7 linked regions of the Sus scrofa genome follow. The protein of the gene in region 1 binds, or shares a complex with, the protein of each later gene. Links are inferred from orthologs where the notes say so. Each region holds a gene or a part of one and is shown in the gene's direction. Other genes may lie near its edges. The genes, in order: SMARCA4, DPF3, SMARCD1, ARID1A, SMARCD2, PBRM1 and SMARCC2.

Evidence for each region.
Region 2: SMARCA4 (region 1) and DPF3 share a complex: the UniProt entries of both Homo sapiens proteins name them as parts of the BAF complex. The link is inferred for Sus scrofa from reciprocal best matches to the Homo sapiens genes SMARCA4 and DPF3.
Region 3: SMARCA4 (region 1) and SMARCD1 share a complex: the UniProt entries of both Homo sapiens proteins name them as parts of the BAF complex. The link is inferred for Sus scrofa from reciprocal best matches to the Homo sapiens genes SMARCA4 and SMARCD1.
Region 4: SMARCA4 (region 1) and ARID1A share a complex: the UniProt entries of both Homo sapiens proteins name them as parts of the neuron-specific chromatin remodeling complex. The link is inferred for Sus scrofa from reciprocal best matches to the Homo sapiens genes SMARCA4 and ARID1A.
Region 5: SMARCA4 (region 1) and SMARCD2 share a complex: the UniProt entries of both Homo sapiens proteins name them as parts of the BAF complex. The link is inferred for Sus scrofa from reciprocal best matches to the Homo sapiens genes SMARCA4 and SMARCD2.
Region 6: SMARCA4 (region 1) and PBRM1 share a complex: the UniProt entries of both Homo sapiens proteins name them as parts of the SWI/SNF-B (PBAF) chromatin remodeling complex. The link is inferred for Sus scrofa from reciprocal best matches to the Homo sapiens genes SMARCA4 and PBRM1.
Region 7: SMARCA4 (region 1) and SMARCC2 share a complex: the UniProt entries of both Homo sapiens proteins name them as parts of the BAF complex. The link is inferred for Sus scrofa from reciprocal best matches to the Homo sapiens genes SMARCA4 and SMARCC2.

The regions. Positions count from the first base shown.
Region 1 is NC_010444.4:69,807,063-69,809,919, forward strand, and holds the end of SMARCA4 (transcription activator BRG1), read left to right. Parts: intron 1-616; coding exon 617-1,003; coding exon of another isoform or gene 1,004-1,028; 3' UTR 1,029-2,357; downstream 2,358-2,857. UniProt on the Homo sapiens protein: ATPase involved in transcriptional activation and repression of select genes by chromatin remodeling (alteration of DNA-nucleosome topology).
Region 2 is NC_010449.5:95,981,855-95,985,354, reverse strand, and holds part of DPF3 (zinc finger protein DPF3), read left to right. Parts: intron 1-174; coding exon 175-256; intron 257-754; coding exon 755-825; 3' UTR 826-3,500. UniProt on the Homo sapiens protein: Belongs to the neuron-specific chromatin remodeling complex (nBAF complex).
Region 3 is NC_010447.5:15,999,278-16,002,777, forward strand, and holds part of SMARCD1 (SWI/SNF-related matrix-associated actin-dependent regulator of chromatin subfamily D member 1), read left to right. Parts: intron 1-1,043; coding exon 1,044-1,179; intron 1,180-3,317; coding exon 3,318-3,440; intron 3,441-3,500. UniProt on the Homo sapiens protein: Involved in transcriptional activation and repression of select genes by chromatin remodeling (alteration of DNA-nucleosome topology).
Region 4 is NC_010448.4:84,077,229-84,080,728, forward strand, and holds part of ARID1A (AT-rich interactive domain-containing protein 1A), read left to right. Parts: intron 1-681; coding exon 682-1,134; intron 1,135-2,820; coding exon 2,821-2,937; intron 2,938-3,500. UniProt on the Homo sapiens protein: Involved in transcriptional activation and repression of select genes by chromatin remodeling (alteration of DNA-nucleosome topology).
Region 5 is NC_010454.4:15,090,536-15,094,725, forward strand, and holds the start of SMARCD2 (SWI/SNF-related matrix-associated actin-dependent regulator of chromatin subfamily D member 2), read left to right. Parts: upstream 1-1,390; 5' UTR 1,391-1,466; coding exon 1,467-1,682; intron 1,683-4,190. UniProt on the Homo sapiens protein: Involved in transcriptional activation and repression of select genes by chromatin remodeling (alteration of DNA-nucleosome topology).
Region 6 is NC_010455.5:34,814,618-34,818,117, reverse strand, and holds part of PBRM1 (protein polybromo-1), read left to right. Parts: intron 1-1,389; exon of another isoform or gene 1,390-1,467; coding exon of another isoform or gene 1,468-1,515; intron 1,516-3,144; coding exon 3,145-3,297; intron 3,298-3,500. UniProt on the Homo sapiens protein: Involved in transcriptional activation and repression of select genes by chromatin remodeling (alteration of DNA-nucleosome topology). Required for the stability of the SWI/SNF chromatin remodeling complex SWI/SNF-B (PBAF).
Region 7 is NC_010447.5:21,569,765-21,573,264, reverse strand, and holds part of SMARCC2 (SWI/SNF complex subunit SMARCC2), read left to right. Parts: intron 1-71; coding exon 72-185; intron 186-653; coding exon 654-807; intron 808-1,484; coding exon 1,485-1,577; intron 1,578-1,810; coding exon 1,811-1,930; intron 1,931-2,028; coding exon 2,029-2,091; intron 2,092-2,430; coding exon 2,431-2,689; intron 2,690-2,933; coding exon 2,934-3,095; intron 3,096-3,360; coding exon 3,361-3,425; intron 3,426-3,500. UniProt on the Homo sapiens protein: Involved in transcriptional activation and repression of select genes by chromatin remodeling (alteration of DNA-nucleosome topology).

The DNA.
Region 1 (2,857 bases):
TAGGAGTTCCCTGGTAGTGCAGCAGATTAAGGATCCAATGTTGTCACTGCAGTGGCCTGGGTTCAGTCCCTGGCCCAGGAACTTCCACATGCTGCGGGTGCAGCCAAAAAATAAAAACAAAAAATAGTGGAAACAGACTCAGTCCTGTCCATGCAGGAGAACCCTGAGAACAGCCCATGTACATCTTGGATCTGTTTGGATTCACTAGGGGACTCTTGAAAGTAAGCCTGCACTGTCTCCTGTCCTGTGATTAAGTCCACGTGCACACACAGAGCCCAGACTATGAGTTCTCCTGAGTGTTGGGATGGGTACCTTCTGGAAGAGATTTGCTAGTCATAAAATTGGGGAAAACTCTGGCTTTAACGAGAGGCATGCATTTCTCACATTGCTGCAGACCCTCTCAGAGCCTTTAAGAGGATGCTCACCGATTCATCAAGGGAGGGAGGAACCCATGGCTGTTTCTGAATGACATGCCTGACCTTTTGCCTGGAACCTTTTCATCCTGGTGGGCTCGGGCTGGGAAAGGATTGTCCAGCTGTCTTTCTGCCACGGCCAAGTGGGCAGGCAGCTCCCTTGCATTGGGCCATGCACATGAGCCCTGTGTATCTCCACCCAGATCTACGAAGACTCCATTGTCCTGCAGTCGGTCTTCACCAGTGTGCGGCAGAAAATCGAGAAGGAGGATGACAGTGAAGGGGAGGAGAGCGAGGAGGAGGAGGAGGGCGAGGAGGAAGGCTCGGAGTCGGAGTGTGAGTCCCAGGTGGGGGTGGGTGGAGCTGCACTGGAGGGAGAGGACCTGAGGCCCCATTCCTCCACCATCTGCACGGCTCCAGGGGGACCCTCCTCTCCCGAGCTCACATCTTCTTTCTTCTGGTCCCACCCCAGCTCGCTCGGTCAAAGTGAAGATCAAGCTTGGCCGGAAAGAGAAGGCCCAGGATCGGCTCAAGGGGGGCCGGCGGCGGCCGAGCCGTGGGTCCAGGGCCAAGCCGGTGGTGAGCGATGATGACAGTGAGGAGGAGCAGGAGGAGGTAAGGCCCTCAGGACCCAGGCCAGGCGGGTTACTGGACATCCATGCCCATGCAGGTGCCAGACTCCATTCTGTGGTCCCGTGAGGGTAGATGCTCTGGTGCCTCGGCTTCTCACATGTAAGGAAGCTGAGGCTCAATACTAAATGCCATGTGACTCAAGCCCTGGTCCACGTGACCCTCAAACCAGTGCGCTTAGAGCCAGTGGGCATCTGGGGTTTAGGCAGGTCATCCATCCGGTTCCCGCTGCCCAGAATGTCTGGGCTGCCATGCTAAGGCCGACAGGGACAGTCTTTATCATGTTGGGGGGACGGGAGGCACTGGGAATGGCGATGCCATCAGACAGGCCCCAGCGCCCTCAGCACAGGGCCCTCCACAGCCAAGGCTGCCATAGTGTCACCACTGCATGTGACACAAACCATGCAGCCCAGGCCTCTGCTTGTGGCTCTGTCCTGGCCTCTACAAGGACTTCTAAACAATGGTAGTGGGTTAAAACATACACAAAAAACAAAAAACCCGTAACCCAAAGTCATAAAAACAGAACGGAGCAGACACTGAACATGGGCTGTGAGCGGTTCCTCAGTGGGGGACCCCCTGGGCCTGGGCTGTGGTCCCCACACACCAAGATGAGCTTCGGGAGCGTCAAGCCCACAATGGACAGTTTCATGGGTGTGAGCGGCAGGAGCAGACTCACTCACTGGGTTTAACTAAGCTTTGTTTCTAGCTGCAGCCCAGTGCCTGGCCCTTCCGTTCATGGGACCTGGGCGATTCACTTCACTTCTGAGCCTGTCTCCACAGCTGTGAAGCAGGGACGACCCAGGGCCTAGCTCCCAGCAAAGCACCATTTCATTGTCATTATTTTTCTTGTCTAACTGCAGTAGCAGCAAAACCAGGTGCCCCAGGATAAATCTGACTGTCAATGTACATGGTCTTATAGGGCCATTAATGACATTGTAAACGTGGAGAGGGGTGGCCCTGTTTCTGGAGAGGCGTGTCTTGGCTGTAAAGCTCCTCATCTGCCCAGTCAGGATCCAGCAGGGTGTTCTGTGGCCCTCGCCAGGCTGTTTAAAATGTTCAGACAGAGGAGTTCCCGTTGTGGCGCAGTGGTTAACGAATCCGACTAGGAACCATGAGGTTGCAGGTTCGGTCCCTGCCCTTGCTCAGTGGGTTAACAATCCGGCGTTGCCGTGAGCTGTGGTGTAGGTTGCAGACGCGGCTCGGATCCTGCGTTGCTGTGGCTCTGGCGTAGGCCGGTGGCTACAGCTCCGATTCGACCCCTGGCCTGGGAATCTCCATATGCTGTGGGAGTGGCCCAAAGAAATAGCAAAAAGACCAAAAAAAAAAGTTCAGACAGAAAAGCAAAGATCTTATGTAGTCACGAATGGCCAAGGTAGCTGTAAAGCCACAGGTCAGGAGCACAGGGACAGACAGACCACGATGGTACGGAGCTGGGAGGGCCCAGCAAGCTTCCCAGGTCCCAAAGAGGAGTGGGTATGGGCACTGGGGCAGCCCCTGGGAGAAAAATGATGTTGGGATTTGGCCATGGCAGCACCCACAGCCTCATGGAGCTCGTGTGTATCGTTCACTGGGGAAAGCAGTTGTACCACCTATGTTGGTGACTGGGTGTGTTTAAAGCCGGGATTGGTCCCAGTCGGGGGGCTTGCTCCTGTGGGCAGGACTGACTCCTACTCTTTCCTGTCCCTCTTTCAGGACCGCTCAGGAAGTGGCAGTGAGGAAGACTGAGTCCCGACATTCCAGAGTCTCGCCCCCAAGCCCCTCGTACCAGAGCCAAGCCGGCTTAGCCCTTAGCAGTAACGGCTAGCAGCAGATGT
Region 2 (3,500 bases), on another chromosome or scaffold:
AGATAGAGGGGGGATTCCAGATGTGGGCAAAGCACAAAGCATGTTCAGGGGACAGTGACGACCCCAAATGGGGCCTGGAAGATGGATGATGAAAATATGGCTGGAGGCGTGGGCAGATGTTGGTTCTGAATAACTCAGTCTTTCCTCCTCTCCACCTTCTGTGCGTTCCACTAGGACCAGCTGCTCTTCTGCGATGACTGTGACCGCGGCTATCACATGTACTGTTTAAATCCTCCAGTGGCTGAACCCCCAGAAGGTAAGGATGATGGGGTTGACAAAAACAACAGCTACTTCCACCACTTACCGAGCCCTCGCTACTGTGCAGGCCTCGTGCTAAGGGCTTGACATGTCTTGTCTCATTTAATCATCACAACCCTACGAGGTCAGTGCGACCACTACCATGCTACAGATGAAGAAACTGAGGCACAGCTTCAACCAGAGATTTCAACTTGAGGGCCAGAGAGATGATTCCCAGACATACGGCTGAGATGAGGGGAGGTGTGAGCTTCTAGGGGAAAGGGGAGACCCAGGGATGCTGGTTAAAAGGCACAGCCAAGAGGGCTGGTCCTTCCAGCAGTCAGCTGACCATCTCCGAGCACTTACTGTTTTCTCAGCTGAGGGACAGACTTCAGAACGTTTTCAGGCCTGGGCCTCCTCTCTGAATCATGCAAGTCCAATAAAAGAGGGCTTGCAAAGGGTTTAGGGCCCAGGGGTTGGAGAGGGGCAGCCAGTAACACCATCTCGTTTCTTACAGGGAGCTGGAGCTGCCACTTATGCTGGGAACTGCTCAAAGAAAAAGCCTCGGCCTTCGGCTGCCAGGCCTAGGGCCCCAGGTCACGGGATGTGACTTGCTGCCGGAGAGGCTGAACCTGAGCCCGGTTCAAACCAGATCGAGCCCCTACTCCCATATATCCAGACAGACCAACTGTTAGGAACATCAGTGACCACAGAGGGCGTGGACACATGGAAGCAAGAGGGTGAGGGGTCCGCTCACCTCCTACACACGGGTCTCCGTACTCAGCCAGCACCCCCTTGTTTCTGCCAGAAAGATGGGAAACTTTCGAAGAACGAGCCCAGCCGCAGCCCCATGGAGGCCCCTCGCCCTCACCCCAGCCCTGCGTTGCTCGCACTGGTCCCCGTCGCAAAGAACCACTGGGCACCCTGTGACGACCCATCTGTCCCTCATGTGCAGTTTGGTGTTTCTATCTATTGTGTTCCGAGATATCTTCGCCCAGCCTCCCTGCCCCCAGCTTAGTCTCTTCATCCTGAACTCAGCCCAGGAGCAAAGGGCTGTGGAGAAGTTTTTATTTATTACAAGCCTCCCTGGAAACTTCTAGACTCGGAGCCCGGAGGCCATCTAGACGAAGGAGCCCTGAAATCCTTCCTTGCTCCTTGGTCTCTGTGAAGAGGAAGAGCTGCTTTTTGGGCCCCCCTTGGATGTCCAGGGGTGTCCACAGCCTGGTGGTCTCTGGATGGGGCTGGGGAGGGAGGGGGCAGCAGGGAGGGGCAGGTAGAAATGTTGAGATAATTCAGAGGCCCCGCTGGAGCCGGTCAGTATTTGCTGTCCATCGTGCAGCTTTGCCAGGGACCAGCCCCTTGGAGCTGGGGCCTCCTTGAGGAGAGGAGAGGGAGCCTGTGGCAGAGGAAGACGCCAAAACTCAGCCTTCCACTCAGCCTGGGTCTGGAGCTTCCCCGACTGGGACTCAGGAACCAGGAAGGTGAGTGAAAGGGCTGCCAGGTCAAGAGTCTGGATGACGGTACCAAGCACGGCCGCTGAGAAACTCTGCAGTATTGATGTGACACTGCGAATTCCTTTCCCGAGTAATTCCTTCCCTCTGCATCGTGTGTGTGTGTGTGTGTGTGTCATTGCCCACTGAGAACTGATTCTGGAAATTTCAGGATCGGGGAGAAAGGAGGGTCCCCTCGACAAAGAACTGGGGTGATGTGATAGCTTATGACCAGGATGAGAGTCACACAGAACCCTCAGCCCGAGGGCTGCCCTGGTCTCCTACGCTCCCCACTAGATGCCAAACTCTCCTTTTGAACGAGTGTTTCGAGAAGAAAGAGCTGTTCCAGGAAGTCTGTGTTAGAAGTCAGCCCCGGGGGCTGGAGCAGACCGGGTTGCCTTTGCCTCTCTGCGGCAGGGGCCACAGCAGCGACACACAATAACTGACACGTTTCTGGAAAACTCATTTGCCCAAAGGGCAGGTCTCGGTGAGCGGGACCCTGGCGCATGCTCGGCTTCCCTGAAATCAGCTCCATCTCCGTGGCCGGCTGCTTACAACAAAGACCCGGGTTATTTCTGTCCTTCGGCTCCTGAAGAAGCCCCTGGAGGCCCGGAGGCTCCGGCCACTTGGGCCCCTCCTGTCCGGCCGCAGCGTTCGGACTTGCCAAGAGCCCGCCTTCCGGGCTAATTGCTCTTGGCCCGCAGACCCAGGGCAGCCTGGCACGGAGCCGAGCCATGCTGATCTCCCCCGTCCTTGGCAGGGTGACCCGTGGTGAGAGAAGGGGGTCCCTTTCCTGCAGGGGCCCCGTGGAGGGAGTTCCACCCATATGTGATGATCTCGTTTAAGGGCCCCAGCAGATGGGATTTTCATCTTCATTGCAGGATACTTCCTTCCCCTGCTGCTTGGTGAACCTGTTGGGGATTCTGGAGGCCCAGAGAGGGTTTGGGAAGTGGCCGTGTGGTCTCATCACCCCTTTATCTGGGAGGGTCTCGTCGGAGGACAGATTTCCCCTACGGATCGCTCCGGCTCTCTGTCTTCCCACAGACCCCGAAGTGGGTGTCCTCAAAGGCTGGTTATTGGTTTTGAAAATCACTTTGGTTTAATTTTAGGAAGAAAGTCATCGAAATGTTCACATCAGTCATCAAAAGCCACGAATGGCTTAAAAGTTAAAAAAAAAAAAAATCAAATCTGAAACCAAAACAGTGGCCCTCCAGGTGACAGACCCCTTTAGAGCATTTGCACATCTGTTCCCCAGCTCAAGGCAGATGATGGGGTGGTCCTGTTCTCTCTCCAGGCGTGCCTGCTGTGACAGCTTGCAGGCCAAGGAGGGCGCTGTAACCTCCTGCAGGGGTGAGGGTGGCCAGGGCTCTGGACTGGACATCAGGAAGGCCCAGAGTTCCCTTCCTGGTTTCACTCCCGCAGGATGGGCCTGACCCCTTCCTTCTCAGAGACCTCAGTTTCTACGTGGAAAGTGGGGGCAGCAAAGCCAGTTTGTGGGTGGCACCTGCAGGATACTGCAAGCAAACAAAAGTGACGGTCACCTTTATCGCCTTCTGTACTGAAAAAAGGAAGGTGTTGGTCAACTTCACATTGCTCTTTATTTGGGCCCCAGAGAAAGAGCCAGAATATCACAAGGTGCATGTGGATGGTCAGGGTTTTCATTTTGCCCCGGCCATCGAGTAGCTGCGTGACCTTGGGCAAGTCACTTAACATCTCGGAACCTCAGTTTGCCTGTCTGTGAAATGGAGGTAATAAGACTTGTCCTGTCTTTTC
Region 3 (3,500 bases), on another chromosome or scaffold:
CAGAGCTACGGCTGCTGGCCTACGCTGCAGCCATAGCAACGCCAGATCTGAACCACACCTGTGACCTACACCACAGCTCACGGCACACCAGATCCTTAACCCACTGAGCAAGGCCAGGGATCGAACCTGTAGCCTTGCGGTTCCTAGTTGGATTTGTCTTCTGCTGTGCCACAATGGGAACTCCGAGAAACTACTTTTTGCTGGATGTCTTTTGTACCATTTGAATTTTTACCACTGAGGGTTTTGTTGTCTTTTGTTTTTTAAAATCTTTTTAGGGCCACACCCATGGCATATGGAGGTTCCAGGCTAGGGGTCTAATTGGAGCTACAGCTGCCAGCCTACACTGCAGCCGCAGCAAAGCCAGATCTGAGCCACATCTGCGACCTACACCACAGCTCATGACAATGCCAGATCCTTAAACCACTGAGCGAGGCCAGGGATCGAACCTGCATCCTCATGGATGCTATTCAGATTTGCTCCATTGACCATGATGGGAACTCTGCCATTGAGGTTGTTTTTTAAATCAACTTTATTGAGGTTTATATGCAGTATATCACACCCATTTGAAATATGGGTGAATAATTTTGGTCAAATGTGTGCATTCTGTAGCGACCACCACAAGGAAAGGGCAGAGCATTTATGTCGCACCCAAATGGTCTCTTGTGCCCTTTTGTAGTTAACCCCTTGCCCTTTAGTCTTGGACAGTCTTTTTGTTTGTTTTTCTTTTTTGCTTTTTAGGGCCACACCCATGGCATATGGATGTTTCCAGGCTAGGGGTCTATAATGGAGCTGCAACTGCCGACCTACGCCACAGCCACACCAGATCCGAGCCAGGTCTGTGACCTGCACCACAGCTCATGGCAACGCCAGATCCTTAACCCACTGAGCAAGGCCAGGGATCAAACCCACAACCTTATGGTTCCTAGTCAGATTCATTTCCGCTGTGCCATGACGGGAACTCCTGGTTTGGACCTTTTTTTTGACTCTGTGTGATTAGGTCTTAGGGGACAAGCCCTTTACCAAGCCCTTGTTTTCCTCCCCAGTGTTGACCCGAATGATCAGAAAAAGACAGCTTGTTATGACATTGATGTGGAAGTGGACGATACCCTGAAGACCCAGATGAATTCTTTCCTACTGTCCACCGCCAGCCAGCAGGAGATTGCTACTCTAGACAACAAGGTAGGGCCCGGGCCCTGGATGATGGGGCCACCAGCCCTCTAGCTTAGCTGCTTGGCTGCTTTTCTTTTGTTGTTTTCAGTGGACATGTGGAAGTTTCTGGGCCAGGGATTGAATCCAAGCTGTAGCTGCAATCTTCGCTGTAGCTGCAGCAAAAACAGATCCTTTCACCCACGGCGCCAGGCTGGGGATTGAACCCCCTCCTCTGCAGTGACCCAGGCCGCTGCTGTCAGATTCTGCGCCACAGTGAGAACTCCTGCTTTTGAGTCTTGATATTCACTCAGAATGTATTCATACCTAGTGTATGTGAGGCACTTTGGTGCTGGTTGGAACCAGACACCCAAGTTGTGCTTCATAGCTTAATAGCTTTGGGCCTCATTTTCTGATTTGTGAACAGAGACCGTAATACCTGTTTCTCTAAGGTCGTTACAAGCATTAAAGGAGACAGTACATGTAAAGACATGACATTGTATCTGGCGCATAAGATCAAATGGTGGGGTTCTTATGTGGCTCAGTAGGTTAAGGGTCCAGCCTTGTCACTGCTATGGCTTGCCTGGCTGCTGTGGCACGGGTTCAGTCACCTGGCCCCGGGAACTTCCATATGCCAGGGGTGCGACCAAAAAAAAAAAAAAAAAAGGCAACTTTTGTTCCTATTGTTATTATCATTAACTTTAGACATAGTCTGTGCAAGTAAAACCAAAAAGGCTCTGGGAACACAAAGGAGAGCAGGCAGACTTTCCTGGAAGAGCTGACATCCCAACTACATTTTTTTTTTTTTTTTTTTTTGGTCTTTTTGGGCATGCATATGGAAGTTTTCAGGCTAAGGGTCGAATCAGAGCTGTAGCTGTCAGCCTGCGCCACAGCCACAGCCATGCCAGATCCGAGCCACATCTGTGACCTACACCACAGCTCACGGCAACGCTGGGTCCTTAACCCACTGAGCGAGGCCAGGGATCAAACCTGCATCTTCATAGATACTAGTCAGGTTCGTTAGTGCTGAGCCAGGACAGGAACCCCCCAACTAAATCTTGAAGGACAACGTGGGAGTTAATGACAGGTGAGAAAGGATGATGGCGCTTAGGGGCAGAGAGGTCAGAGAACATTCCAGAAAGAGAGGACAGGGTATATGAAGGCCCCGAGAGGTGCAGAGAGCCTGGCATGTTCAAGAAGTACTGTGTTAATCTCAGCTCAGGGCCCTGGAGAAGGAAACTGGATCGGGAAGCTGGGGTCTAGTCATGAGGCAGCTTTGATGCAGGGAGAACTGGTGTATACTTTGTCCTGAAAACTGAGGGCCTGGTGCGCATGCGTTTAGAATGATCACCGGCAGCACATGGGGAGTGAACTCTCAGGGGGCAGATCTGGCGCCAGGAAGTTAGGTGGTGGGGCAGTTAGGCGTGTGAGGTGTGCTGAGGGCCTAAACTTAGGGTTCTGACAGTGAGGATGGAGGGGAGTAGGCAGCCCGGGGAGGTGTGAAATGGCACTGAAAGGATTCGGACCCTGGATGGAGACGGCGGGGTGAGGTGTGGGGAGAAGAGGCTTTGTGCCGACCCCCAGCTCTCCAGCTAGCCACGTAGTCCTAGCACCCGGTTGGAAACAGGCTTGGGGGAGAGATGGTGCATTTCGTTTGGAGAGTTTAAGGTGCCTTGAGTGGTCAAGCAGTTGGATTGGTGGGCGTCTAGAAAACGGGCTCTGGTTTGCAGACCGGGGACTCTTCACCCTGTCAGAGGTCCTGGAAGATAGCTAAGGAGATGATGTCACCAGGAGGAGTGCAGAGAACCAGAAGAGGGCAGAGGACAAAACCCACAGACCAGAGCTTTCGAGACAGCCTTCGGCACCACCTCTTTTCTGCCTGAGAGTGTTTCGGGACCCCTTTGTGCTGTGGATTAAGTGTTTACCGTGTGGCGTCCCCCACTCTGGACATTGTGGAGACTAGAATGGGGCCCACAGGGACACAGGGCATGTCACCTGTGGAACGAACATGAACCGGAGCCAGGGCTGGGGGCTCTGGGCAGCAGTGCCTTTTCTGGGCCACACTCTGTTCCTGGGTTGCGAGCGGCACAAGGAGAAGTCAGACGCTGTCTGCCGTTTGGCCCTGTGTTCCCCCAGCGTGGAGATGTCAGGAGCTTCTTCCTTCCTTTCAGATCCATGAGACAATAGAAACTATCAATCAGCTGAAGACCCAGCGGGAGTTCATGCTGAGCTTCGCCAGAGACCCTCAGGGTTTCATCAACGACTGGCTTCAGTCCCAGTGCCGGGACCTCAAGGTAGAGGACCCGGGACAGGTGCAAAGGGACTTGAGGCCTGTGAGGCTCACAGTTGCTTTT
Region 4 (3,500 bases), on another chromosome or scaffold:
TGATAATCACACTAAAAATGGTGACGGATAAATATAAAAACCTAAGACTTTAAAGTATGCCCTTAAATACAGTCACTTTTTTTTTCAATGAGAAAATGGAAGAGAGTTGGGTGGTTATTATTGGTCTTTTTTTTTCCCCCTACTTGCCAAACATATCCACAGTACCTAGAGTGGTTCCTGGTACAAGCAAGCAAGTAGGCTCTCAAATACTTTTTCAGGGAAGACTAAATGAAAAAGAGAAGCACGGTAGTTTAGTCTTTGGCATACCACCTAGATTACTAAACTCTAGGTTTTCAGGTGGATTAGGCAGGTTGCTGTTGACTATTTGTTGTGGCTAGGATACAGATTTCTAGCACTTATAAAGACAGAATAGGCTATGATAAAAAAAGAGTAGGCTCATTGGTGAAAACAGCTGCTCTTGAACTAAGCTGTCCAAATATTAAATAGTGTAAATTTTCTGTGGATGAGTATAGTCCTCTTGTACAGGTAACCAACTGGTAACCCAACTTGGCTGTCCTTTCTGGCTCAGTTTAACAGGGTGGGTAGAAAACCCTAGGCCTTCTAAATGTGAGGCTTGGCTTGCCTGCTTTCTGTATTCATCAGGTAAAGCTATTTCAGGACATAGCTTCTGATAAACTACCAGAAGTATCAGTGCTAAAAGTATCCTTTTCTTTCCTACAGATTCCTCCTTATGGCCAACAAGGCCCCAGCGGGTATGGTCAGCAGGGCCAGACTCCATATTACAACCAGCAAAGTCCTCACCCCCAGCAGCAGCAGCCACCCTACTCTCAGCAACCACCATCCCAGACCCCTCATGCTCAACCTTCATATCAGCAGCAGCCTCAGTCTCAGCCACCACAGCTCCAGTCATCTCAGCCTCCATATTCCCAGCAGCCATCCCAGCCTCCCCATCAGCAGTCCCCGACTCCATACCCCTCCCAGCAGTCCACCACCCAGCAGCATCCCCAGAGCCAGCCCCCCTACTCACAGCCGCAGGCACAGTCTCCTTACCAGCAGCAGCAACCTCAGCAGCCAGCATCCTCGACGCTCTCCCAGCAGGCTGCGTACCCTCAGCCCCAGACTCAGCAGTCTCAGCAAACTGCCTATTCCCAGCAGCGCTTCCCTCCACCACAGGTAAGATGCCCCTTCCTCTTGCCCTTCCCTGTGTGTGACCACAGACGGTTTGGGGGTTGGTGTCATAAGAACTTTGCCATCCAGATTGGTACTCTAATGTGCACTTAAAAACCAATTAAAATCTGGGTAAACATGCTAACTGGATTGATTGAACTAATAAAGGCATAACTGCATAGAAACCTGTAGCTCTCCTTATTGATAAAGTAGGGCAATGGAAAGTTGCATAGACTAATAAAGATAAGGGGGCTGATTTTTTTTTTTTTTTTTAACTTAGCATTCAGAACTTGAGCATCCAAGTGAAGTTGGGTTTTTGGGGTTTTTTTTGCTTTTTAGGGCCGCACCTTGGCATATGGAGGTTCCCAGGCTAGGGGTCGAATTGGAGCTACAGCTGCTGGCCTAGACCACAGCCACAGCAATGCCAGATCCAAGCCACATCTGCAACCCACACCATAGCTCACAGCAACACCGGATCCTTAACCCACTGAGCGAGGCCAGGGATCGAACCCACAACCTCATGGTTCCTAGTCGGATTTGTTTCCACTGTGCCACAGTGGAAACCCCTGGTCTTTTTAAAAAACAGTCACTTGGGATGCTGTATTATACATTCATTCCAACTGCCGTTCATTCTGCTATTGCTCAAAATATTCTGGACCCCTTCATTTGAAATTGCCATCAGAGCTGACATTACATCCTTTAGAATATTCTCAGTGGTGGTAGCAAATCCTTTTATTTTTTTGAGACTGGATTTGATTTTGGGAAATATCAGATTTCTAAAATTCATTTATTGCCATGTCTATGAACAAGGTAGGTGATAAAGTCTAAAAATAACAATTTGGGCTTTATTCTTTTAAGAGCAAAAAGAGGAGAAATTACTGAGTGATGATAAGTCCACTAAAGATTTTGTTCATTGGTGGCATTGTTGGAATAATTTTCTCATCCCCAGGTGTGTCTTTAAAGGAAGCAATATTCTTTTTTTTTCTTTCTTTTTTTTCTTTTCTTTTTTTTTTTTTTTTTTTTTTTTTTTTTTTTTTTTTTTTTTTTTTTTTGGTCTTTTTTTGTCTTTTCAGGACTGCACTCATGGCATATGGAGGTTCCCAGGCTAGGGGTCGAATCAGAGCTGTAGCTGCAGGCCTTTACCATAGCCACAGCACTGCTGGATCCGAGCCGTGGCTGGATCCGAGCCGTGTCTGAGACCTACACCAGAGCTCATGGCAACATGGGATCCTTAACCTACTGAGCAAGGCCCGGGATTGAACTGAATCTTCATGGATACTAGTTGGGTTCATTAACCACTGAGCCCACGACGGGAACTCTCCCGGAAGCAATACTCATTTTAATGCACAGGTTCTAATGTGAGGATTTTTTTTTTTAATTAATTAGGCTCATTCCTTGATAAATATAATTTGTAGTTAGCCAGACTTTAGCATTTATCCCCAAGGAACAGCTTTCTGTGGGTGGTGATAAATGGTTAGCAGTGCCATCAGAAAGGGTTTTATGTCCACTTTTGATGCTCTTGAGAGCCACAGTTTGTATTTTTCTGCTTTTGGATAATATTGTGTGTGATTGGGCGATCATTCACACCCAGCTTCCCCTGTGTAAGAAAGTCCCATAGCTGTTTCACCATGAAGCAAGCTTGCCTGGTTTATTAATACCAGACTCTCACAACTTTTGTTTTTCTTATTTTAGGAGTTATCTCAAGATTCATTTGGGTCTCAGGCATCCTCAGCCCCCTCAATGACCTCCAGTAAGGGAGGGCAAGAAGATATGAATCTGAGTCTTCAGTCAAGACCCTCAAGCTTGCCTGTGAGTATTTCTGTCACCTTCTAAAAGATGATGGGGGGAGGGGGAGTTCCTGCTGTGGCACAGTGGGATCCCAGGTGTCTTGGGAGCCCGGCCTGGCACAGTGGGTTAAGGATCCAGCATTGCTGCAGCTGTGGCTCACATTGCAGCTGCAGCTTGGATCTGACCCCTCATCCCTGGCCCAAGAACTCCATATGCCAAGGGGGAGCTGATAGATAAATAGATAGATAGATAGATAGATAGATACATACATACATACATACATACATACATAGATACATAGATAGATAGATTAAAGATGATGAGGGCAGAGAGGAAAGCAAAGAAAACCAGTTTCTGATTGGATGTTTTGATGATATTCAGCTAAATGAACTATTCCTTGAATTCAGGCTCAAAAATCTGAAAGGAATTTATAGACCGGCCTTATTATTGTTTTGGTTTCCTGCCCAGGGAAGAATATGTTTGTGATCTCTAGAGATCTAGACACTGTTTAAAGTTTGTTTTAAATCTTGGGCTCTTAGGTGTGGGCTCAGGTGAAGGACAGAGAAGATGGAGATGGTAGAAGC
Region 5 (4,190 bases), on another chromosome or scaffold:
CAGACTGACAGGTAACCCACTTTTAGGGAGAAAGAGGAGAGGGATCCCTGAGAAGACCAAGAGGCAGGAAAGCAGCAGCAAAAGCAGGGTTTATCACTGGAGGAAAGATACCAGGAAGTACAGATGAGCAAAACTGACTAAAAATGGTTGCTCTATAAATGTGGAACGCTGTGGGGCAAGTCTTGGTTGGGGATGAAAACAAAGGAGAGGATTTGTATGGTAAAAAAGTCTATCTTGGATACTTAAAAAGTGTAGTCTGAGTAACAACAGCATTGCTCAGGAGCTTGTTAGGAATGCAGAATCTTGAGCCTACCCTAGAACCCAGGCCTACTGAAACTTAATCTGCATTTTTAACAAAAGCCTCAGATGTTTCTTATGCTCCTTAAAGAAGCACTGGTCTGTATCATGGGGAAAAAAAATCCCAGAATGTCAGAGGGGCTCCCTGGCACAGCTGAAGCAGCTTTATTTTGCATACCTGCTAACACAGATCTGATTTCCGAAAAGGTATTAAGTTTTTGAATAGTGCTTTAAATCCTGGAGAAAGACCTTATTTAACTTAGGGGTTTCTCATAATGCAAACTTCCTTCTCCTAGAAACATTTCCTCTGGAGTAAAGTATTAGAATTCCTTAAAGTGAGGCAGAGGCACGTTCGAAATATGCGATAAAAACTTGGCGCTTGGCCAAGTCCACTCTTCGCACAGCTGCATAGGGTCTGGAGCAGCCAAGTCTCTTGACAGCTCTGAGCCACTAGGATGGGCTTTTAGAGTCACGCTGGCGGCTGTTCTGCCGCAGAAAGCAGCTTTAAGTTGTCTGTAATGTTAAAACGTAGAAAGGAGCTCTGACAACTATTTTCAGGGACCGAGGCTGGGTACCTCGGCGAACCAGCCGCAAGGGGGGAAGAGAGCAGCAACTACCCGTTTACTACAGTAGTGCTAGTGACCTTCGACCTCTGACCTTCTGCATTTCTTGAGTTGCTTCCGCCCCCTCCCCTCCAGTGGAGGGCCGGCCCAAGGGTATGGGCGGGGCTCCGGGGACCGGCGGTTAGAGGCGGTGCCTGTAGGGGGGCGGGTCTCGCGAGGGCGGTATTTGAGGGGGCATCCTCGCATTGGCCAGCTGGGTATAGGCGGGGCCTAGCGCTGGGCTGGGTTAGGCGGGGGAGGGAGTTAACTGCAGCTTCTGGGTAACTGGACGCTGGCGTTGAAACCTCCAGAGACCGGCGAAGGCTAGCGGGCCCGTAGCGGATCCCGGATCCGGAATTTCCCGGGCAGGACCGGAATCAAGACCGGCCCGGCCCCAAACTGGGTTTGTGAGGAACTCGCGAACTTGGATTAGGAAATCCCGGAACCCGGATCAACAAACCCCAGAACCCGGAATTTAGATCGGAAAGTCCCGGACCGCGGAGCGCGGAGCGAACTCAGCGCGGAGCCCGGAGCCCGGATTGAGACACCGCGGGACGGGACGGAGCGATGTCGGGCCGTGGCGCGGGCGGGTTCCCGTTGCCCCCGCTGAGCCCTGGCGGCGGCGCGGTTGCCGCGGCCCTGGGAGCACCGCCTCCGCCAGCGGGACCCGGCATGCTGCCCGGACCGGCGCTAAGGGGGCCGGGGCCGGCTGGAGGCGTGGGGGGCCCGGGGGCCGCCGCCTTCCGCCCCATGGGCCCCGCGGGCCCCGCAGCACAGTACCAGGTGAGGAGGGCTGAGGGGCGGGCGGCGCCGCGAGCACACTCGGGTAGGGGGCGAAAGAGGCCTCGAGTGAGGGTCCTGGAGCAGCCTTCCTGACAGAGGGCACAGGGGCTCTGCATGCGGAGTTCACGGGGCACTGTGCGGGGCAAAGCCAGGGACTCTGGGGCTCGGCTAGGTGGTTGCGGAGGAGTTAGGGGAGAAGGTAAGAGCGACTCTCGGGTGAAGGGTTTGAAGCTGTTGGGAGGGTGTGAGGTCTTGGAACAGGGGTTCTGAGTAACTGAGAGATGGAGGAGTTGTTGGAGCTAGTGAATTGTAGGCGGGTGGCTTGAGAAGTCTAGTGTAGATTCTCCGCAATGGGGTCCTGGGAAGTGATGAGAAAGTTTTGGAAAAGGGCCCTCACTGAGAAACCAGGGTTACCCTACATTGGTCTTGGTCCTACTCCAAGGCTGCTCTTTTTTCTCTAGTTGGGAACTGGCAGAGTTTTAGCGTGTCTGAGATGGCTCCCAGCTGCTGAGGAGGAAGAAGGGCCTGGCTTCCCACCGACAGGAGGTGGAGGATAGGACCAGCGATTCCAGCCTGTGCAGGGGGAGTCTACTCCTGGGTCATGCGCAGGGGCCTTCACACAGGGGTGACTCTGGGTTAGACCAGAGAGGGTGGTGGCTAGGCCTGAGAAAGGAGGGAAACCCAGCCCATTCTGGACAGACTCTCTTTGGCTTTCTGCCTGGTGTCACAGTGTCCAGGAGTTGATTAGTCTGGGGGAGCATAGAGGCTCCAGTGAGCCTTGCTGGTCTGGGGCTGGAGGAGCCTGTGAGAGTTGCTTCAAAGGGTTCTGTCCTTACCTCTTTGGTGCTTGGCTTTGCAGAGGGCTTCTTGGGTTGCAGCTTCAAAGGCCATGGAGATGCAGAGACTCCATTCTTGGGGTCAGTGTGTGAGGAACTCAGCCTGACCCTGGGGTTGGGGCTTACCAGCCCCCAAGTTCATTGTTTCTGGTTGCCCCAGAATGCTTAGGAATTGTGCCCATTCTTTTCCTACCCTCTGTCCACTTTTTTTTTTTTTGTCTTTTGTCTTTTTAGGCCTGCACCCGCGGCATATGGAGGTTCCCAGGCTAGGGGTCGAAGCAGAGCTGCAGCTGCCAGCCTACATCAGAGCCGCAGCAACGCCAGATCCGAACCATGTCTGCCACCTACACCACAACTCATGGCAATGCCAGATCCTTAACCCACTGAGTGAGGCCAGGGATTGAACCTGCAACCTCATGGTTCCTACTCGGATTCGCTTCCAGTGCACCACAACGGGAACTCCATCCCCACTTTTAATTAGCCTTTTAGGTTCTCACAACGCCATCTGTATCCCAATCCATGTATCCCAGCACTTGACACTGGCTTCTTGCTAATCTCTCAGGGAAGCTAGGAGATTCTCGTGTCTCCAGTAGAGGTCCCCCAAATGGATCCTCATAGAGTAGGGTACACATCCTCCCAGGACCCCTGGGCCTTCACTTTGTAAAGAGATGCTTAACTGGGGACAGTGATTTTTCCCTCTAACTTCTCATTCTCCCTCCACCCTCTAAAGAAAACCTAGGGCCTGGGTATTGATAGAGACAGACCTGGTCCCAGCGGCTCCAGCTGGGATTCATCTTTCCCATCTTGCTCTCCCCCTTGGCCCAAGGTGTCACGGAGGGGTCCCTGCATCTGTCATTCTGGCCCTTGGGCCAGTTAGCTGAGGTGCCTCCCTTTGGGCTGTTGGCCTGGGAGGGATCTAAAGGGCAGATAGGAGCCCCTCCACTTTTCCTCAACCTGCAGCCCATGGGGAATGTGGCCTGGGGAAAACCCCTGAGCAGGTGGCCTCGGGCAAGTGGCAGGGCTGAGCTGGCTGGCTGGGTAGCCCAGGCTACCAGGAGCAAGACCTTGAGGAAGGCACTGAGCCTCTGCTTGTGTGGGCTTCTCCCCATCTCCTGCTTCTCTTCCAGGGACCAGAGGGGCAGTAAAGGTAGATGGGGGGAAGGAGGAGGCAGCTCATCTTGAGTGCAGAGAGGATCCTACTTGGCCTCTTTTCAAGTTCTTTATGTGACTTCCAGGAGAAGAGACTTGAGATCTCAGGAGCAATGGGCACCTCTCTGTTGGGGCTCACGAGGTGAGTCAGGGAGCAAGGCGCTCAAGCTCACGGCGGGCAAATAGGCAATCTTGTTGATAGAAGGGAAATGATGACCCAGCTCCTTGCACGCAGTGTTTCCAGCTGTGGATCACAGTCTACTAAGGAACTTGAAGAAAACAAAAAATGGGAAAAACAAACCCCCCCAAGAACACAGATTGCTGGGTTCACACCAGAGAGTTCAGAGTATTTTCTACGTATGTGGGGGTATGTTCTCTTCTCCTTGGTCCTTAGGCCCAGCCACCAGGAGCACCAGGGCCACAGGCTCTGAGCCCTGGCAGAGCATGCTCTCTGGAGGCAGCAACATCGGGCTGGCCTCTCTCCCCTGCTGTCCCAGATGGTGGAGGTAGAGTCCTGTTGAAG
Region 6 (3,500 bases), on another chromosome or scaffold:
CAGCTCCAATTTGACCCCTATCTTGGGAACTTCCATATGCTGCCGCCAGTGTGGCCCTAAAAAAAATAAAAAAGAAAAAAAAATGCTGTTCCTGTGTCCAAGGGAGCATGCAGTCCTAGAGTTAAAACTTAACACTTTTGTTGTGCTTTGAAGTTTCAAAGTGATTTCACGTACATCTCACTGTCACGACAATCTCAGGGAGGTATGTACACTCTAGTGTTCTCATTTTAGAAATGAAGAGACAGATCTGAGAGGTTGTAACTCAAGCAACATCAAATGGATAGAGATGAAAGACTTGGGTCTCTTGTCTTCTGAGCTCAGGTCTTATTGCTCCTCCTACATTTCCTTTCTTGCTAAACTTCCAAAATACATTTTAAAATGTATTCTTTGGATGAGATTTGAAAATTATTCTTAGGTAATAAGGACCTTTTTTTTTCTTACCAAAGTAAATTAATGATTCAAGGAGTTTTTGATGTTGTATGGTCTAAACTATATATACATATACCCCAGTGATTTACATTTTTTGTCATTTGATTTTCAGTGGATTATTTGCAAAAGTAATTTTGATCTCCTGCCACATGGTTGAAGGCTTTTTTTTTTTTTTTTTTGGTCTTTTTAGGGCCTCACCTGAGACCTATGGAAGTTCCCAGGCTAGGGGTCAGATTGGAGCTGCAGCTGCTGGCCCACACCACAGCAAACCAACTCTTCGTCTGCGACCTACACCACAGATCACAGCAATGCTGGATCCCTCAGCTACTGAGCAAGGCCAAGGATTGAACCCACATCCTCATGGATACTAGTTGGGTTTGTTACCACTGAGCCATAATGGGAACTCCACCCCCCCCTTTTTAAACCTTTCCAAAGTTGCATGTGGTATCCTTTCAATGCTCTTAGGACTTTAGGAAAGAAATGTCTTTCTCTGAATTTTTTTTGGTGAGTTTTCAGACTCTTTGCTCACATGAGCCATTCTTAGTTTGTTCCAGCTTGCTAACATTTGGTGTCACATGTGAGCCTTCCACATGTGTTCACCCTTCATTCCAACTCTAATTGAACTCTGCTCTTATTGACTGGGGGGCAGTTGGACAGGCATGCTTCATTCCTGGAATTGACAGTCATTCCAGGTGAGTAAAGGGGAGCCTCAGTGAGACATCTTTAAGCATGTGAAAAGCATTTGGTTTTAAAAATGGAAGCAATGGAAGCGTACTATTAGTGCCTGCCCCTTTGCAGTGGTTTGCTTAGCAGAACAGAACTGATATGCCTGTTTTCTTCAGTTCTCTTATCTTTCTTTAGCAGTTCTGTTTGAATGTTTTCTATCTATCCGTACTCATTTTTGCTCTTTCTGACCCTTCTTTTTATTTCCCCTTTCTCTGCCTTGTTCTTCTCTTTCAGTTTTGAATATATTAACACTGAATCAGCACTTCTAAAGCCCTGCCTTCTCCCCCTGGCTTCACTTGGCCTTCAGACATAATGAGGAGACTGGCTTTTCGAGGCGCTGGTTGTGCTCTGGTAAAGCTGGTAAATTACTGATCATCTACACCCTTTTCCTTTTCTGTCCTTCCTTGCCTTTTCCCTTCCACCTTTCTTAAATTTTGTTATCCTCTTCATAAAGAGTCCCACCTTATGTTCATCAAATTCACTTGTGTCCTCGTCATAGACTGTTTACAGAAGTCTGGTCCTTAGTTTCTTCATCTTAATGAAGTAAGGCCAGTTTGTCAACCTTTTATAAAGCAAACAAAGATCAGCAATATTTGGCTGGCCTTGGTCTAAGTCCTTTGAAGCTTCGGCCAATTGCAAACTAATACACTGTATAACAAACCAAGTCCCGTAGGAAGGAACATCATCACTTTAGACTCTGTGTTTAAACACCATGTGGATTGCAGTTCAGAGGAAGAGATAAGAAACTCCTCTTGTTTCTTAGTTGGTTACCAGAATTTGTTATTTGTTGGTTTGTTTTGCTTCTGCTTTCTGTTCCCTGGAGATACCCAGTTTTTCTCTCCATACCACTGGCAGCCCATTCTTTCAGCTGTTAGTGTCTTAGTTTCCTGAAATTGAATGTTGATGAATGACATTGGGATCACTTTTTTCTTTTTGCTTTAGAGAAAGACTTTTGAAATCATAATATACTGCCTGATGTTGTTAAATTGTATAAACCTTGTAGGACTTTCTTGGGTATACACCCTTTCCCTCTAGCTGTAGCAGATCATTTCAGTAGTTGCATTTCTTGTGTTATAGTCAAATATGTGTATCTGTAAAGTTGTGTTAATATTATTTAGTAGCCTTACTAAAACCGAGAGCAAGTATTTACATATTTCTGAAAGGCCAAGGAGGACCTAAAAGTTCACTTCTGAGGTGGTCTTCCAGATCACCTACTGAAAATATAAAGCTGTGAGTTCCTTAGAGTAGAGCTGAGTACGTCACATAACTGAAAAGGAAGTTAGTCTGGATTAACAGAAAAGTTTTAAAACACAGATTTGCTACTTTAGCATAGGTACAGTAAGTCATGTTAAGTGTTTTAAGGAATGGAGAAAACTCAATTTTCAGTGTGTTAATTTAGGGCATATCTGAAATGCTAGAAGGTTAACCAGTCCTCTGTTCCTCTACCCTTTTGCACTACATATTTGCATCAAGGTCTGCTTCCAGTTTTTTTTGTTTTTTGTTTTTTGTTTTCCCCCACATCCTGGCCCATCTGGAGATTGATCATAATTGTAAGAAACACGGGGGAAAACAAATGAGGTTGCTGACTCCAGAGGTGACCACCTTGGGGTCTCTGTCCCTGAGGCCTGCCTAACTGCCTCAGAGACTAAGGGATTAATACCTTTAACACACTGGTGTACCACTGCATTTTCCAAACTCCAGTCCAGAATAAATTTGAGGCTAGAAGTGATTGATTCCTTCAAAATTGGTAATGTACAAATGAGTATACTTTTGCTGAATTTGTCCCATCCAAGTAAGTGTAGCATTCTGGTAAGCGAAGGGGCTAAAGCAAGATTTAGGACTTGCCCTGAAAAAAAGTAGTTAACCTTCTTTGCAACAGTTTAAATATCCTCCAAAGTGAACCAGAAGCTTGGTAGTCAGTGGCCAGCTGAGGGCTTGGTGGCAAAGTATAAACTTAAGTATAAGAACATGGCTAATTATTTCTTATAGAAGAAGTTGGATTCCATGGGTTCCAAGAGAAGAAGAGCTACCTCCCCTTCCAGTAGTGTCAGCGGGGACTTTGATGACGGGCACCATTCTGTGTCCACACCAGGCCCAAGCAGGAAAAGGAGGAGACTTTCCAGTCTTCCGACTGTAGACCCTGTGAGTAACTTGGATCACAGTTTCTGTCTTCTGTCTTCGCTACCCTTCCTCCGATGATAAGCAGTTATGATGCAAGGCCTGTGTGCTTCTTTTTCCTCTGGTTTGATATTCTCAATTTTTCTTTTATGAAAAGTATATATTTAGCCAAAAGTATTTGAGTGATGGAGTAATTTAGTATTATGAAATAATAAAGTATATCAGCA
Region 7 (3,500 bases), on another chromosome or scaffold:
TCCTTGGCTCTCTTAGCATTTTTCCTGCCCTTCAGCCCTCTCATCGTTCGTTCATCCCTCTCTTTCCTAAGCTACCTGGCCTATCGGAACTTCATGATCGACACTTACCGCCTGAACCCCCAAGAGTATCTCACATCCACCGCCTGCCGCAGGAACCTGGCGGGTGATGTGTGTGCCATCATGAGGTGTGTCTGCAGCTGAGGGGCCGTGAGGGGGGCAGGGGGGATGTGAGAATATCTGCCTGCAGATGCTTCTTGGCCGAAGTAGAAAGGCCAGCAAGGTGCATGGGGACGAGCAGGAAAAAACACCTCTGGGGAAGGTGAAGTTCAGGTTTGGGTGTGGGGGGCTTGAGGGCATGCGGGGCACTCTCTGGAGTGTGAGTCCTTCACTCTCTGAAGGGGCATGTCTGTAGTGAAGGACCTTATCCCGTGAGATACCCAAGAAGAGATGTTTAGTGGGCGAGTGGACATGCAGGGGCCACAGCTGTGAATGGAGACTTGAGTGTCACTGGCATTTAGGTGCTGGGAGTAGGTGGGACTTTTTGGGGAGTAGAAGGAGCAGAGAAGAGGGTGCCCCCACCTCCACCCGAGCCCTCCTCCTCCAGTACTGTCTGGCTGTCCCATGTGACCCTGTCTCTGCCTCCGTCCTCACAGGGTCCATGCCTTCCTAGAACAGTGGGGTCTGATTAACTACCAGGTGGACGCTGAGAGTCGACCAACCCCAATGGGGCCTCCGCCCACCTCTCACTTCCACGTCTTGGCGGACACACCATCGGGGCTGGTGCCTCTGCAGCCCAAGACCCCGCAGGTAGGGTGAGGGGCTGTGGGGTCAGGGTGGGGGTGGGCAAAACGGGCCTTCTTTGGACTTTTCTTTTTCTGGTTTTTTAGGGTAATGGTTCAGAAGTGTTTTGAGGCTTCTTCCTTTCCCATAGGACGCAAGGGCCACAGGATTCAGCCCCGTGTGCTTAGCACCCTCTCTCAGCCTTTGTACCTAAGACTGTGAGGACTTGCTGAGGGAGAAGAGATGCTTCCTGTCCTCAGGGAGCAGACAGGCTAACCTAGGGGGATGGGGCAGAGAGAGAAAAATGGCTTAAAATGAAGTTGCATGAAATTTTTTACCTTTGTCACATTTCCAACATTTTTTCATTTTTGCTTCATAATTTTTATCACTTCCATTTTTTTTTCCCACTTCCATTTCATACATTACAACAATTTAGAGGAGAAAAGCTATGTGGCTTGCCCAAGGTCACACATGTAGGATTAGAACCTACTTGTCCAGCTCCTAAGAGAACCTGTAAAGATACCTGTGAATACAAATGGAAATCATGCCAACTGCAGATCTAATTAACCATTGAGGGAACACGGAACAGTGGCATGAGTGCCCCCCGAGCTTGCGGGCTGCCCAGCATTTGGTCTTGAGGCCTCCAGGGCCTCGGCTTGGTCATTTCCTGCCCAGCCTCCATGACGCCAAGCTCTGTCCCCCAGGGCCGCCAGGTTGATGCTGATACCAAGGCTGGGCGAAAGGGCAAAGAGCTGGATGACCTGGTGCCAGAGACGGCTAAGGGCAAGCCAGAGCTGGTAGGTGGGGTGTAGACCCCGCTGGGCTTCTTATTTGCCCCTTTATTGGGGGGCCCCTGCCCGGGAAGAAGAGCCGTGAGAGCAGAGGAGCTACAGCAGTGAGGGAGGAAGTCCCGTCCAGGGGTGCCCCTGGCTGTGGGAAAGAAGCTCCTTCTGTCTGTCCTCTCTGTCTGTCTGCCCCTGGCTCCTGGCGGGCACGCGGACTCACCTCTTTCTTTTCCCTCCACAAATAGCAGACCTCTGCTTCCCAGCAAATGCTCAACTTCCCGGACAAAGGCAAGGAGAAACCGACAGACATGCAGAACTTCGGACTGCGCACAGACATGTACACCAAGAAGAACGTCCCCTCCAAGGTAGGGCGTCTCGGGCTGCCCCGGGGGCAACGCACCTTTGCTCCTCGAGGCCACGACCACGGCCGCCTCCCTCTGACCCGCCTGTGTTTCTCCTGCAGAGCAAAGCTGCGGCCAGTGCCACTCGAGAGTGGACCGAACAGGAGACGCTGCTACTCCTGGAGGTAACTGGGGCAAAAGGGAAGGCGAGTCGTATGAAAACGGAAGCAGCCAGGCTGCCAGCCGCACTCATGAGTGGGAAGAGTGTGATCTGGCCCCGGTTCCTCTCCTTCCTGGCGCTCATCACACCTGCCCCAGGGACCAGCTCCAGGCCCAGGGACTTGGGCCCGTTTCCTTAACTCCTTGTCCTTCCTTAGTGCTACTTGGAGATTGCCCTCGGACTCAGCAGAGTACACAAATACCACAGCCTAGAAAGCTCTGAAGCAGCTCCATTGAGTGGGTTGGGGGGCTGACCTTCATGGAAGGTGGCTGAGTCAGTGAAGTTGTGTCTCCACTACCACCAGGCACTGGAAATGTACAAAGATGACTGGAACAAGGTATCAGAGCATGTGGGAAGCCGCACGCAGGACGAGTGCATCTTGCATTTTCTTCGGCTTCCCATTGAAGACCCTTACCTGGAGGACTCTGAGGCCTCCCTGGGCCCCCTGGCCTACCAGCCCATCCCCTTCAGCCAGTCAGGCAACCCTGTGATGAGCACCGTTGCCTTCCTGGCCTCTGTCGTCGATCCTCGAGTGGCCTCTGCTGCGGCCAAGTCAGCCCTAGGTAATGCAGGGGGGCTCCAGCCCCTTGTCGTTTGCGTTTGAAGGGCTGGGTACGCAGGTCATAAAACTCTCTCCCTCAAGTTTGGCTGCCTTCCTGGCCTTGTCTGCTGCTGGCCTCAGTCCTGGCGCCCGTCCAGCTCCCTGCAGGTTTAGGTGATGTGCCGGGCTTGTGAAGAAGCTCTCACTGGGAGAGCCAGAACTGCCCACCTGCCCGCTCCCAGCCTCATCCTCTCTGGGTCTTGCAGAAGAGTTCTCCAAAATGAAGGAAGAGGTACCCACGGCCTTGGTGGAGGCCCACGTTCGGAAAGTAGAAGAAGCAGCCAAAGTGACAGGCAAGGCCGACCCAGCCTTTGGCTTGGAAAGCAGCGGCATTGCAGGAACCACCTCGGATGAGCCAGAGCGGATAGGTGAGGCCTGGCCAGGTCCCAGACTCCATTTTTGCCAGGAGACAGAGCCACCTGCCTCCCCACACCATCCCTGCCATCCTCGGGCCTCGGAGCACAAGATGCATGGGGAGGATTGGTGGGGGTTTATTTTCCCCAGCGATTTCCCTTAGGCACCGTGGCTCCCCCCGGTCCTGTCATTAAGGTCTTGGCTAGGAGAAGGGGCTGTTGGAAGAGCATGGTAGACAGACTGTCAGACATTTCCCATTTCCTCTTCCCCTGGGCCCAGAGGAGAGCGGGACTGACGAGGCACGGGCAGAGGGCCAGGCCACAGAGGAGAAGAAGGAGCCCAAGGTATAGCGGGACTGACGGGGCCGGGAGGGTGGAGGGGGCCAGGTAGGAGCTGTGGTCAGGGTGCCGGCTCCATCC